2 linked regions of the Danio rerio genome follow. The protein of the gene in region 1 interacts with the protein of each later gene in a pairwise test. Links are inferred from orthologs where the notes say so. Each region holds a gene or a part of one and is shown on either strand. Other genes may lie near its edges. The genes, in order: psmg1 and psmg2.

Region 1 (4,381 bases):
CTCATCATATTGTATTCTTTTAATATTGTATTCTATTGTTGACCGAGAGATGAGGGGAGAGCGCGAACGCAGTCCCCCACTACCAGAAATTACGCAGTACAGATTCCTGCATTTGAGAAATTGTCAGAGGTCAAACTAGCCGATTTGTGCAATGGCTAATCCTCGCCCTGGGTGAACCACCTTTCTGATCATGGTATCGCCCCTGCCAGGTAAGTATGATTCCGTTATAGTACCGGAAGGGTCTTGACCGTCAGAAACATCCTTCTTGATGGCGGTGACTCTTCACTACGCCACACGTGAACCAATGCGATCAAACCGCACAATCCCGCTGTGTGTAGATGCAAAGATTACCCCTTCATCTATATATTTATTTATGTACTTATTTATGTATTTTTTAAAACAGAATAAGGACATTTTGCAGCGAACCACTTCCCATCATGCAACGGGACAGTCGAACAGCCAATGGAAAAGCACTACTTAAAACTAGCCTTTTTCAGAAATCAATAATCAGAATTTGTAAACTCAGGTTGAAGTAAAACTCTGGACAGTTTATCTTTTGTAGCTTCATATATTATAATCTAAAACAAACTAGCGAAAACATTCAATGAACACTATGACGTAGGCAACAAGAACGTGTCATGTACATCACTTCCGTGAAATCAAAACAAAGAGCGCCGACAGAGTTCAGATTTTAACTCCATGATCCTTAAATATATATTTTAACCATTAAAAAAGAACCATTTGTACGTTCAGTTGTATCCCCAATATGTTGTATGTATTTGTAATATAATCAGTATTTTATGATGGTATTTGTGGCCGTTCCGCACTTGTTTTCCTCAACAGAACGTGTGCAGTTACACATAATAAGATTTCGAAAAATCACGAAGCTTTGTGCACCATACAGCCATATAACACATACATGATCACATCAGTGCCTCTTTTAGTGGTTTCGACACAATAGAAGTTAATAAACATACAAATAAACACCTCAGCCTCTTTACATTCAGACACCTTCACTCCCGATCCAATACAGCCTGTTCAGGTGTATGAGACAGAGGAGCATGTGTTGAGGACGTCATGTAGTGCATTTATACAAGAGAGACAAGAAATGGTAACTCAACTGATAAGTTTAAGAAATGCAGAAATAAGTTTCAAAGGTCTATTAGAATGAGCAGAAGAACAGAAAGGAGGTGTTTGATGAATTTCCTGAGGGAAAACTGAAAGGAGTCCAGAAGGGGGCAGTAATGCAACAAACAGGATGCCAGCTGCCCTTAAAACCTAACGACGAAGAAGAAGAAGAAGCATCGCGTAGTGTTGCTCATTACACCCCGCCTGTGAGTTTTATTAATAAATTAGCTTGATTATCAGTGTAATATGGCGACATTCTTCGGCGAGGTGTTATCAGTGTATTCTCGAGCTGTGGAAGAGGATGAGTATGAAGACATGACGAATGAAAACGAGGAAGATGAGCAGATCCGCCGCGAAATAGAGGAGAAGAGGTGACATGCTCATCATATTTACTGATTATCTGATCAAACCTGTGACTGCAGTCAATATCAGCACTTTATAAGAGAAACGCAGGACGCTTTCACTTTCACTTCAGCAGCGCGGGTCTGTGACTCATCACGTGTCTCTCTTCATCATCATCTTCATCATCGCTGTGTTACAGTGATCCTCTATGGCGTTTAGCGATACTTAATGTCCTGTTTCTATCACAGCAACAGCACCACATCACACAGTTAGCCGTATTTACTGACCAAAACCACACTGTGGTAAATAAACACACTCTGCACTTCAACATGCTGGATTATTCTCATTTACTGACTCAACAACACTCAAGCTCAGCTCATTCAGACAGAGGTAAAGTTGGTTTGATATTGGGATATTCAGACATTCTGCTTAATCATTTATTTTCAGAAAAGTGTTCTTTGCTAAATCTAAATTGGGAGATCAGATTAGCAGTCAAAGACTAAAGTACAGCCATGTTTACAGTCAGTTATATAGTGTTGATGTTGTTTTGAACTCATACTTGTATGCTAATTCTGATTAAATATTCATATGAGTGTGGTAAACGATATAGAGACCGTTAAATTAATGAATGTGTGAATATAAAACCAACTTTACCTCAGTGTTACAGCTCTAGTGTTCAGTTTTGTTTATGTGTGTTTGTGTGTGTGTGTGTGTGTGTGTGTGTAGATTGAGTTAATATTCAGTGTTGTGTTGTATGTATTGTGTAGTGTGTGTGTGTAGGGTGTGTGTAGATATATTGTGTTACAGGTATTGTGTTGTGTTCCTCCAGGTCAGTGGAGGTGTGCTGGCTCTTGGGCTCTCAGGATGGGCCCCTGCAGTGTTCAGATCTGATCATTGGCGCGGGGCCGAACGCCAGCGGTGAGACCTCACTCCTGTACTCTAGACACCGCAGATGTGTGTGTGTGTGTGTGTGTGTGTGTGTGTGTGTGTGTGTGTGTGTGTGTGTGTGTGTCCTTGAAAATGTATTAATTTCAATGTTCTGTTTTCAGCGGTTAAAAAAGTGCTTGGAAATAGAATTGTGTAGTTGTGTAGTAATTACTCTCCTAGTAATTTATCTTTCTTATTAGTTACCTTTTGAAAATAAAGAAAATATTTTTGTTTTTGTATGAAGTTCAACATGTGATTTTATGTTTGGGGAGATTCACAGTGAGTCACTGAATGACTGAATGACTGTGTTAAATGAAAGATTCAGTGAAAGATGACATGGCGATTCCCACTGCAGGATTTGATCTTAATTTAATGTATGATAAATAAATATAATGTAGTACTGCGATATTCAACATTTGGAAAAATTAGATTAAGATAAAACATGACATGTAAGATGTGAATAGATGACATTTAGGAGAGTAAACGACAGTATATCAGTGCCGATAGACGACTGCAGGCAAACACACCATATACATGATTAAAATACTGCACTATACTATTGAACATTACATCAAACAACAGCAGAGCATGTGTTTGGACTGTGGGGGAAACCGTAGCACCCGGAGGAAACCCACGATAACACGGGGAGAACATGCAAACTCCACACAGAAACACACACTGACCCAGCCGAGACTCGAAGCAGTGACCTTCTTGCTGTGAGGCCACAGTGATAACCACTGAGCCACCGTGTCGCCATGAATAAAGATAATGTTTTGCTGTGTGTGTGCGCGTGTGTGTGTGTGTGGTCTGTGCAGGGTTTATTCGTGCGTATCTGCTGAGCACTGTAGGATGGACGGCCGTGGCGTGGCTCTCCTTCTGGAATGAGCGGAGCCGTGGGTCTGAGCGGCCGACTGTGGTCCCAGGGCCCGGAGAGCCCTCCTGTGTGCTGTACCGGCTGGAGAGCTGTCCCACTGTGAGGAGCGCACCATCACTATACACTACAGGAGAGCTATTCTGCCACTATATACAAGCTGTACACAGTGTGTGTGTGTGTGTGTGTGTGTGTGTGTGAGCTGGAAACAGCACACGGATGATGTTCTCCAGCTTTCTGAAACTGACCCTTTCAGGCTGTGATCCTCATTGTGGTGTTTTGATGACTGTCGCTTTAAATGTAATTGTGTGTGTGTGTGTGTGTGCGCGCAGGTGCTGATCTGCCAGTGCCAGGGTTTTGTGGCAGAGGATCAGCTCTTCCAGTTTACAGAGAAGGTGAGGCCTCATACAGAGCTGTGTGTGTGTGTGTGTGTGTGTGTGTGTGTGTGTGTGTGTGTGTCTGCGAGCCCTTCCTCATTGCTGTGTGTGTGTGTGTGTGTGTGTGTGTATGTGTGTGTGTCTGCGAGCCCTTCCCCATTGCTGTGTGTATGTGTGTGTGTATGTGTGTGTGTGTGTGTGTGTGTGTGTGTGTGTGTGTGTGTGTGCAGGTCTTCTCATGTGTTCAGACGAGGGATCTGAACGTCACCATTCTCTCAGACTGCTCCTCGGCTGATTATAAGACATCAGACTACCTGAGTGGGAGCAGCACACCATTCCTGCGCTGTCTGAAGACCAGCACATACACACACACCGTCACATGTCCACCGCTGGAGCAGCCCAACATCTGCAGCGGACTGGCAGCCGCAGGTACAACACCGCTATACTGCATTATTACACTACTGTACTGCTCACTTCACCATACTGTAGTCATGCATAACGTGTGTGTGTGTGTGTGTGTGTGTGCGTGCGTGCGTGTGTGTGTGTGTGTGTGTGTGTGCAGTCCTGAGCCACTGTCAGGTTCATCAGATCTCGGCTGTCCTCTACCAGTGCTACAGTGATGTTCTCCACCCAGACTCCGCCAGCATGCAGATGTTTGCAGCAACTCTGAGCTCAGTGCTGAAGGTGTGTGTGTGTGTGTGTGTGTGTGTGTGTGTGTGTGTGTGTGTGTGTGTGT
Region 2 (4,509 bases), on another chromosome or scaffold:
GGGTTACAAGTTAAAGATAAAAAAGTTCACCAAAAATGAATGGTATGTCATCATTTACTCATCTTTATCATTGTTTGAGTTTCTTTCTTATGATGACCACAAAGAAAGAAACCGGTAACCACTGACATCCATTGTAGGAAACGCAAACACTATGGAAGTCATTGGTTACCGGATTTCATCATTTTTCAAAACATCTTTTGTGTTCATCAGAAGAAAGAATCTCAAACAGTTTTGGAACAACAGGAAGATGAGTAATCGGCAGCAGAATTTTCACTTAAAAGTTTGCAAGAACTGGAAGCTACGAACATTTTTTTTTTGTATTATGACACAGCTCCTAGAGAAATAAAATAGTAAATGAGAAAACAGTAGGCGTGGCTTGTTTTTTTATACTGCGATCTGAATGGATGTAGTAAAGTAGGCATTTCATATAGAATGATTGAGAAAAAAGTTTCCGGAGAGATATTATAACCTAAAACAGAGTATATACAGGAATCAGGGATTGAAATTCAATGGCTTTTAAGACCTTTTTAAGACTTTCCATATATTTTATAACATTTTTATCATTATAGGTTTTAACCGGAAACACTAGCGAGATTTTAACTTACATTATATAAACGAAATATTAATGTATCCTAAATATTAATGTAAGAAACTAATCCAGACTAAAACATTATTCATATCCTGAATAAAAATCTATTAAATCTAGTGATTTAGCAGGTTGGCACCTAAAGAACTGCAGAAATAACGGTGTTGTCTTGGTTACTGCAGTAAACAAAGCAGAGTGACGTCAAATCTAGCAAGATTTAATTGATTTAATAAACTAAACAGCATCCTGATATTTGCAGATTTACTTCAGGCAAACTTTAGCATACAACCACACATCGCATAATCAAAAATTCAATCAAATTTAATACCTAAAAGCATTTAAGACTTTTTAAGTGCCTTAAATTTCTCTACATTGATTTATCAACTTTTAATACTTTTTAAGACTCCGTGAACACCCTGTAATACTCAGCCAAATCAACTTTTCTGTTTGTTGTCATAGTATGGTCAAAACTGACAGTTGGAGGGGCGTGGTTAAGCATGTTAGCCCCACCCAATACCTCAGACAGATGTAATCTGAGAATTTAACTGGAAGCAAACAGGAAGGGCATTTTTTTAGCTTTTAATTAAAGCTAAGGGCAAACATTTTTTCTTAATGACATGCGCAGATGTATTGTTCACCACAAAACTAGCAGTGTGAGCTAACAAAATCAATATGGTTAGTTTTGATTTCATGTGTACTGTAAAGGTCTAATAGCCATCCATTACCTTCTGCGCTGGTGCTGAGCTGAGCAGCATCTTCAGTGGATGAAGCGTATGGGTTGTTTCCAGCCATAGGAATGAGACAGTCTGTGTGGAAATATCCCACTCTGGGCATATTTAGCGTTGAGATGAGCAGATCCACGGCGAGCTGGCCCACATTTCCAACAGATACTGCAGGCTGTGAGAATATGAGGAATAACTGTCATATGGAGCTCCGTGTATTGGGGTCTCACATTGAGACTTTTTCCTTAGCATTATATTTTCAGAAAAGTTTTTTTTTTTTTTTTTGCAAAATATAAATAGGGAAATCATATTAATAACGTTAGTAGCCAAATACTATTAAACATTGTTAATCAAACAGTGCTGTTGTTGTTTTAAAGTCATACGTGCATGCATTCCTGACCAAATTTTGAAAGTAGCATGGTAAACAATACCAGGACCGTGTCACAAGTTGTCACAGAACTGTTGTGCGAGTATAAAACCAACTGTACCTAAATGCTCAGTGTTTGATAACTGCAGCTTACAGAAACCCGCATGTGTCATGATGATGAAGCTCAAATACTTACCAGTATCAAAGTAAAGCCTTTAAAAGAAGGAACGGCATCCCCCGATGAAATGAACATTTTAAAAACTGTTTATAACTGATTTCGCAGTGAAATGTGTACGAGTTTAAGTGGACCAGTACTGATTTTTACTTTCAATTTCCTGCGCTGTGAAAAAAGGACCTAACAATACTGCGTCATTCTCTCAGGACGCCCTGATGCCTGAGTAAAAAAAAACCTAAAGGAATTATTTGCGACGTGTAAGTTAAATATTTTTTGGAAGAAAAAAGGGCACATTTAAAGATATCTTACTCTTGATCTGACGTTAATATATCTTAATTTTGCCGTTATAATAATCTTTGCGATAAAAAAAAACATTTTAACATGTCAAAATAAAAGTCTTTAAACTAATTATAACAAAACGTCTATGCTCTTTGATTATATTAATTGCGATGATAGTGTTGATATATATATATATATATATATATATATATATATATATATATATATATATATATATAATTGTTAAATGTAAATTGATAAATTAATGTAAACATTGTTTCAATAAGTGAATCTGATGTGAAAGACTTTACTTTTGATTTTATTTTCAACTCGATATCATTAGTCTAAATAATACAGCTATACTAAAATTATATTTTAAAACGTACAACTTACTGTAGTTTATCGGTTGTTTACATGGATGATCAAAAGATGGCGCTAGACGCTAAAAATCTCACCGGCCTCTTGCTTGTGAGAGTTGCACCTCTTGCGTTCAGAGCCGCTTTTTTTCCTTCATATTCGACAAGGAATTGGAAATTTAGCATTTTGCTCAAAATGGACATGATACTCTCTCTCTCATTTACTGCAGCTTTGTCAGTTGTTCATCTATATATTAATCTGTCGTTCCAGTACAGCCAAATGCAGCTCTATTGGATTAGAAACTGGTGACTGTGGAGGCCGTTTGAGGATAAAATAATCACTGTCATGTTCAAGAAACACAGACTGAGATGATTTGAGCTTTGTAAGTAAGCTATCAAACAATGGGAACACTGTGGTAATAAATTGAAAAAAAAATTACTTGTGAGCAACAGAAGTAGGCTTAAATTATGCCTTAGTTGGGACCCAAGAATGTAAAAATAAAATATAAAAAACAAGACCAGCAGCCTGAACAATTGATATTAACAAGACAAGATGGATCCTTGTAGGGCTGCATGATATTAGAAAAATCTGACATTGCGATATTTTGTTTTTATACAATATATATTGTGATATGAATATAATTTCACCAGATGGATTGAATAGCTCTATTTTGAAGGAAATCATTCAGATTTTTTTTTTTGGGGGTGTGAACATTGTATAAAAAATAAACAAATTGAAAGCAAATAAAGACAATAAAGCAAAGCAAAAACCAGAGAGTCAAACAGTATTCAGGTACAGAAAATGGATGATGGAAAGTAAAATAATACTTTAGTCTTTGTTGTATTAATAATTCAGTAAACTCATTCTTCATTTCTCTTCATCAGTTACAAATGAGCTTTTTCTGTGCCCTAATGCAATCTTGAAATATCTTTAAAACACATGTTGTTCACACAAGAAAATATAAATGTACTCACCCCAAGTAGTTCAAAACCTTAATGATTTTCTTTCGTCTGCTGAACACTAATGAATATATTTTAAAGAAATCCGAAAACCTGTAACCTGTTGACTTTATTTGTAGAAAAAACAACTACCATGGTTGAGAGGTTCACAATCCATTGTGTTCAACCAAAGAAAGAAACCCAAATAGGTTTGGTCAAACTGAAGGGTGAATGAATGATGACAGAACTTAAAATTAACGCTTTAATGTTGAATAGTTCAATTACTGAACTTTTTTCCAATCTTCTGTCCATTTAGGAAGCCTGTGTGGATTGTCACTTCGGCTTCCACTTCTTAGGTGACAGGAGCAAGGTATTATAGATAATTATTCTAAAACAAATGTGTGAAAACTCCATTTCAGTAAACTTGAGATAAATCAGGGTGAATATGGTAATCAAACGCAATAAAGATACGGCGATGTGTATTTTTTCCAGGATTATTCAGAAATATGGTGTTTCACAGATATCAATAAGAAATCATTTCTGTCATCAGTTTCAGGCTTTCATAAAGTATTTAGTGCACTTGTAAAATATAATAGCTACTAGGCAAAACACTAACAACGTCAACACTTCACCAACACTTACAACATCTTATTCTTTGAATGCACTTTTAATACTAACAGGAGCCAATCTGTGGATTCAGTATTGAATATGTTCATGTGTATATACTACAGTAACCATGCAGCCACCTTGATGTCAAAAAACAACATAAAAAATGCAAATCGATTTGATGTCAAAATCTTGACGTTCATTTGACATCCAAACATTGATGCTTTTTTGACCACAAATAATGGCACAAAAAGTATTATAAAATAAGAGAAGTTTTGTTCATCCAAAAGCTTAAAGGGCACCTATGATGAAAATCCTCTTTTGTAAGCTGTTTGGACAGAACTTTGTGTGCGTTTAATGTGTCCACAGTCATATTGGGGTGATATAAAGACAATAAGTCTCTTTTTTTATTTCCTAACGTTAAAATCGGATCCAAATCCTTTTCATTTTGAGGTCCACCGCAACGTGACGTAGCAGTG

Evidence for each region.
Region 2: the proteins of psmg1 (region 1) and psmg2 interact in binary tests that used the Homo sapiens proteins (3 or more experiments, as listed by UniProt). The link is inferred for Danio rerio from reciprocal best matches to the Homo sapiens genes PSMG1 and PSMG2.

What each region holds. Positions count from the first base shown.
Region 1 is NC_133185.1:517,092-521,472, reverse strand, and holds the start of psmg1 (proteasome assembly chaperone 1), read left to right. Parts: upstream 1-1,295; 5' UTR 1,296-1,374; coding exon 1,375-1,499; intron 1,500-2,299; coding exon 2,300-2,388; intron 2,389-3,212; coding exon 3,213-3,370; intron 3,371-3,600; coding exon 3,601-3,663; intron 3,664-3,875; coding exon 3,876-4,074; intron 4,075-4,207; coding exon 4,208-4,329; intron 4,330-4,381. UniProt on the Homo sapiens protein: Chaperone protein which promotes assembly of the 20S proteasome as part of a heterodimer with PSMG2.
Region 2 is NC_133194.1:13,452,277-13,456,785, reverse strand, and holds the start of psmg2 (proteasome assembly chaperone 2), read right to left. Parts: upstream 3,118-4,509; 5' UTR 2,523-3,117; intron 2,012-2,522; exon of another isoform or gene 1,929-2,011; coding exon of another isoform or gene 1,872-1,928; intron 1,484-1,871; coding exon of another isoform or gene 1,421-1,483; coding exon 1,312-1,420; intron 1-1,311. UniProt on the Homo sapiens protein: Chaperone protein which promotes assembly of the 20S proteasome as part of a heterodimer with PSMG1.